Linked DNA regions of Saccharomyces cerevisiae S288C. Changing the gene in region 2 together with the main gene of any one other region gives a genetic interaction. Each region holds a gene or a part of one and is shown on either strand. Other genes may lie near its edges. The genes, in order: RTR2 and RRF1.

Evidence for each region.
Region 1: mutations in RRF1 (region 2) and RTR2 together harm fitness more than expected from each alone (negative genetic interaction), as found in Saccharomyces cerevisiae (2 studies listed by BioGRID).

Annotation. Positions count from the first base shown.
Region 1 is NC_001136.10:581,353-584,460, reverse strand, and holds RTR2 (putative protein-serine/threonine phosphatase), read left to right. Parts: upstream 1-1,962; coding exon 1,963-2,553; downstream 2,554-3,108. Other genes in the region: DOS2 (Dos2p), read right to left, coding at 1-748; OCA6 (protein-tyrosine-phosphatase), read left to right, coding at 996-1,670; RRG1 (Rrg1p), read right to left, coding at 2,677-3,108. UniProt on the Saccharomyces cerevisiae protein: Probable RNA polymerase II subunit B1 C-terminal domain (CTD) phosphatase that regulates RNA polymerase II transcription. May have functional redundancy with RTR1.
Region 2 is NC_001140.6:182,093-185,319, forward strand, and holds RRF1 (Rrf1p), read left to right. Parts: upstream 1-1,973; coding exon 1,974-2,666; downstream 2,667-3,227. Other genes in the region: PUT2 (1-pyrroline-5-carboxylate dehydrogenase), read left to right, coding at 1-1,612; MSC7 (meiotic recombination directing protein), read right to left, coding at 2,783-3,227. UniProt on the Saccharomyces cerevisiae protein: Necessary for protein synthesis in mitochondria. Functions as a ribosome recycling factor in mitochondria.

The DNA.
Region 1 (3,108 bases), on a different chromosome or scaffold from region 2:
CTTCTTTTTCCTCCGTTTCCTTTTCCTTTTTGGACAATATTTCTTTCCTTTTACTTTCTTTATCTAGAATTTTGTTTCTTTGTAAGAAATAGATGTGCCAGAAATCTTTATAGCTGATTTTATGGGGTACGATGTCGTTCATTAATTTGGAGATATCTTTGTCGCCCTGTAAAATAGAACATATCTCCTCAGTTTTTTCATCCACGTCAAACGGGTCCAGTTGCAAATCCATTTTATTGTCTAAATAAACCGATTTATCTTTAGATAATGTCCTTAGTTCGGCTTCTGTTCTATTTCCACCCACAGCAATTTCATTTTCTTTCGAATTCTCATCCTTGTCATTAGAGTCATTTTCTGCAGCATTATCGAAGCTACTGAAGCCAGACCAAAAATTCTTAGTTTTCATTTTGCTCCAATATGACTGGGCTAGACTTTCCACGCTGTGAATATTCTCGTCTAGTTTCTTCAAATACTTTTGTGCAGTCTCTGTAGTTTCATTGCTAATTGGCAAGTTAATTTCAATTCCGTCATCTTTCTCGATTACTAACTTTTTGAATGCACTTGTAGTCTTTTCATATCGTTTATTGACTTCCTCTTCTAACTTTTGGAAGGCCTCATTTGTTTTGTCATCTCGGCTCTGAAGTTCGTTATTTTCAGTGTTTTCTGTTGATCCAGTTTCCTTGGTATGAGAGTTGCTTATTTTATCATCTTCGATACAAGCTACTTGTTCTTCATAAAAGAATTCCATTTTATCCTAAAACGTCGAAGCAATGGAGCTCACTAGCTGTACCCTTATGTTGTGTTCTTTTTTTGTTGCATGACTTCTGCTAAGTGCTTTTTATCATTAATCACCGCTATTTGATGTAAGGCCAAAAAAAATGCGAAAGAAAAAAAGAGACTCTGTTAAGAAGGAAAGGAGTACCAATATAAACTATGGGTTCACAATTGCTATGAATACCCAGTTCACACATCTAGAATAAGCTATATGTATCAAAATGACACTAGTGACTCCGTTACAATTTTCGACTGTACAGCCAAATTTATATAGAGGATCTTACCCACGAGAAATCAATCTCCCATTCCTGAGAACCCTTAGATTGAAATACATATTATCTTTGACACCAGAACCTTTGAGCACTGATCCTCTAATGGTAAAGTTTTGTGAAGAAAATAACATTAAGACAATTCATATAAAATGTCAAAGTGAAAGAAAGGCAGACAAGACCAAACCCAAGATTAAAAGGAAAAAGAAAACAGTTCCTATTGAATACGATGTTGTAGTACGATGCGTTAAATTTCTGATTGATAAAGGGCATTACCCCTGTTATATGCACTGTACGAATGGTGAATTGATAATATCTCTCGTAGTAGCATGTATGAGAAAGTTTTCATATTGGAGTACGGTATCCATACTAAATGAGTTTTTGGTGTATAATTCCAGCATCAATATTCATGAAAGAAATTTCATTGAAAACTTTAACTCTGAAATCGAAGTTGACGATCTGGATATAAAGGATAAAGTTCCCTGGATTACCGTGCGATATATTGCAAGGACAGCCACAGAATCAAAAGATGAGTTGCGTGTTGATGATGCTAATGCGTCTGAAAAAGTTGCAAGAGTAAGTAGCGTGTCAAATTCTTTGCCAAAACTAAAATTTCATAGTATGTAAAATTCAGGGATAAATTCATATAATATTTTGTAAAGACAGAAGCTTCAGGGTTAAGTCTTAGCCGGGCCCTCCAGCATTGATAATCATTTTTTTCAATATCAAATGCCATTGAAAAGTCCAACGAAAATTACATCGACTTTACAAAAGAGACGAGCCGGTCACATTCTAGTATTGGCGAAGATTGGAAGCCATTTATCAACAGCAAGGAGGCATTCTGGAAAAATTGCAGCATATTTAAGAAAAGTGATAGGTTTATTTTTATACTAGAAGGACAGGAGCAACGCAAGCCATAATGCAGATAATAACCACTACGTTCATTCAAAAAGTAATTTTAGGATCACACCAATTACATGAGCAATTATCTATAGTGGAAGCCCGAATGATTGAATCTGCCATAGTTTCAATGCTCACAGAATCATTTTGCGAAAATGAGCAGACATTAAAATACTTAGCACGGCTACTTTCACCGATGTCTTATATGGATGTTATTAATGCAAGAAGGGGAAAGAAAATATGTGGGTACCCGCTATGCTATAAGAGTGCGGCAGAAAATTCATCTGATGGCTTCTTTATCCACTCAATGTATTGTAATAATTATCACAGTAAATGTTCGTTGTATTTAATGAGACAGTTATCACAAACGCCTCTGCATGAAAGGCGAGGCGTGCATTTAACTAGTTACATTAATCTAGAGTTTGATGATATGTACTCGGTAAGCCTTTTAGAAGAATTAGTTGGAAGTGAGGTACCTATAGATACCGTCAAATCGCTGATAACGAGTTTCAAGGATCTTGAGTTTGATGATACCTACAAGAATGAGCCTTTACCATTGGATGTGTACTTTGGACAGTTGACTACTGATGAGGAAACCTGTATAGAATAGGAAGTATAATTAAATCGTCTTCATCAGGATCCTTATCGCGGTCATACGAGTGACTATTTACATAGAAATGGAAGTAACCAGTAAATTTTCTATTAAACTTTCTGATTCACGCAACTTTTGCACTTAAAAACCGTATTTCGCCAAAACACTTGGCAAGTCCCTCCCTTCTATAAAGAGTGTCACATATGGTAATGTTTCTTTGCTCATTTTTCTGAATAGTGTCAACCGTTTGGCGTACATTTCTTTTGACTTTTTATCAAAATATGCTAGTTGGCCACCGTTCTTTAAAAGCTTTTCCTTATATTTGTTAAAGTACTCCACTCTTTGAAAACTTTTGGAATGTAATTCGAACATTATTTCTCTCACGGGATCTACCCATTCTTTAACTTTCTGATATTGACTCGAAGGATTACATTTAGTAGACTTTGGGATATTTGCAGCGTATTCCAAGTATTTCGGTAAGTTTACTTTAATAATCTTTTTCGACTCTAGATATTCCTCCCAAATGGCCTCATGTAATGCCCAAGCAGCATTAATTTCGCAAAAATTGAGATT
Region 2 (3,227 bases):
AGACTTAAAAGACTGGGACTTACTGAGGGCTTCCTTGATGAAATTCAAAAGTTCTTCTTTAGAAGTGCCACTGGTCATCAATGGGGAAAGGATATATGACAATAATGAAAGAGCGCTTTTCCCGCAGACTAACCCTGCGAACCATCAACAAGTACTGGCAAACGTCACACAAGCCACGGAAAAAGATGTCATGAATGCTGTAAAAGCCGCCAAGGATGCCAAAAAGGATTGGTACAATCTACCGTTTTATGACAGATCTGCAATTTTTTTGAAAGCCGCTGACTTAATTTCCACCAAGTATCGTTATGACATGTTAGCTGCTACAATGCTGGGCCAGGGAAAAAATGTGTATCAGGCAGAAATCGACTGTATCACGGAATTATCTGACTTTTTTAGATACTATGTCAAGTATGCATCAGACTTGTATGCTCAACAACCCGTAGAGTCAGCGGATGGTACTTGGAATAAAGCTGAATACAGACCTTTAGAGGGATTTGTGTATGCTGTTTCACCATTCAACTTTACTGCTATTGCTGCAAACTTGATTGGGGCTCCAGCTTTGATGGGTAATACAGTTGTCTGGAAACCTTCACAAACCGCTGCCCTTTCAAATTACTTATTGATGACTGTTTTGGAAGAAGCGGGATTGCCAAAGGGTGTCATAAATTTCATTCCAGGTGATCCAGTTCAAGTTACTGACCAGGTATTAGCTGATAAAGATTTTGGTGCCTTGCATTTTACCGGTTCTACAAATGTCTTTAAGAGTTTGTATGGCAAAATACAAAGTGGCGTTGTTGAAGGGAAGTACAGAGATTACCCCCGTATTATTGGTGAGACAGGTGGTAAAAATTTCCATCTAGTTCACCCAAGTGCAAATATATCACATGCAGTACTCTCTACTATTAGAGGCACTTTCGAGTTCCAAGGCCAAAAGTGCTCTGCCGCTTCCAGGTTATATCTTCCAGAGTCAAAAAGTGAAGAATTCTTATCCGATATGTTTGGCATATTGCAGTCACAGAATGTTGTCCCAATGAACACATCCGCAAGTCCAATTTCTGGTGGGAATTTGCGGGGATTTATGGGTCCTGTCATCCATGAACAAAGTTTCGACAAATTAGTTAAAGTAATTGAAGATGCAAAGAAAGACCCCGAGTTGGAAATTCTTTACGGTGGACAATACGATAAAAGCCAAGGTTGGTTTGTCGGACCCACAGTCATAAAAGCCAAGAGACCAGATCATCCATATATGTCAACAGAATTTTTTGGCCCTATATTAACTGTTTACGAGTATCCAGATACTGAATTTAATGAAATCTGTGATATTATCGATAATACGAGTCAATACGCCTTAACTGGTGCTATTTTTGCCAAAGATCGTAAAGCAATTGAATACGCAGATGAGAAGTTGAAGTTTAGCGCAGGAAATTTCTACATAAATGATAAGTGTACTGGTGCCGTTGTTTCTCAGCAATGGTTTGGTGGCGCAAGAATGAGTGGTACCGACGATAAGGCTGGTGGTCCAAACATTTTAAGCAGATTTGTCAGTATTAGAAACACAAAGGAGAACTTCTACGAGTTGACTGATTTCAAATATCCATCGAATTATGAATAAAAAAATTTTTGTGGAATAGAACCGCGAATGCAGTCACTTCATCCATCAACTCATGTAAATGTTAGATTATCGAAAAAAGGGTTTTGATTACTTCATTAGGTTTTTTTAGTTTTACAATTTTAATTTATCTAGGTAAATAGTTTAAAAATATTCATTGAACCAACCGTCCAAATTCCCGTTCTATATTCTGTCATGACTTACTTATTCACGTTGCTATTTATTCGCCGCATATTCATTCTGTTTTTGGCATAAGGACCCGTCCGGAAACAGAACATCAATTTATTAAATACGTCCATTCGTAAGCTTAAAGATGGAAACTTTGGCGAGCAGTCCCTGACAAGAAAAATAACAGCAAGAAATAATGATTTTAACCACAGCTAGATTAAATTGTAGACCAGTCACCGTTCCTCGTCTATTTAATCGTTCTTTTAGTCAATCTTTCATAATTTTGAAGAAAAAAAGTTCTACCCCTACTGAGAAAGTCGAAGAAGATGAAATTGACGTGAATGAACTGCTGAAAAAGGCAGAAACTCAATTCAAAAAAACTTTAGAAATTCAAAAACAGAAAATGAATGAGATAAAACAGGGAAATTTTAATCCTAAGGTATTCAATAGTTTAGTGTTCAAAAATAACAGAAAGTTTACAGATATTGCTACCACATCCTTGAAAGGTAAAAATGCACTTTTAATAACAGTTTTCGACCCCAAAGATGTGAAAACTGTGATCAGTGGGGTGCTTGCTGCGAACCTGAATTTAACTCCTGAAAGGGTCCCAAATAACGATTTGCAATTGAAAGTTTCGTTACCACCACCAACTACAGAATCCCGGTTAAAAGTAGCTAAAGACTTAAAGAGAGTATTTGAAGAATATAAGCAGTCATCGCTAAAAGACTCATTAGGAACTATCAGAGGCAGTATTCTAAAGGAATTCAAAAGTTTCAAAAAGGATGATGCCGTTCGAAAAGCTGAGAGGGATTTGGAAAAACTGCATAAGGATTACGTGAACAAGCTTCATGACCAATTCCAGAAAGTTGAAAAAAGCATTGTAAAATGAGGAATTTCGTAACGTGTATAGAATCAAAAAATCATAAATCTTGTACATAAAAAGTTCATTTTATATAATAATAAATACCAAATTATTGATAAGTTTGTTGCTTCCTCTAAAGTAAACTAGCTGGCTTCTTTAGCTAAAGAGAACAGTGACTTTATTCTTTGCCATGTGGAATTTGTATAAGCTCCTACGATGAAACTCTTTACAAAATTCCAAGCCTTAGCATTGTTACGAATAGGGTAGTCTAATGGTTTTGGAATTTGAGTGGAGACAAAAGGCAAAGTATCAAAACAGACACTTTTGGCATTGCACAAACCCAAAAGACCTTCTTCACCACCAAATTTACCGTAACCTGAACCATTGATACCACCAAATGGTAATTGACAAACATAGAATGTAGCAAAATCATTAATGGCTACATTACCAGTTTGTAGGCTATTTGCGACGTAATTGCATTCCTTGATATCCGCACCAAACACAGAACCACCTAGACCAAATGGCGCAGAGTTGGCTAGTTGTACACAATGGTCAGTATTCTTAGCTTTCATCATGACTAAAATTGGG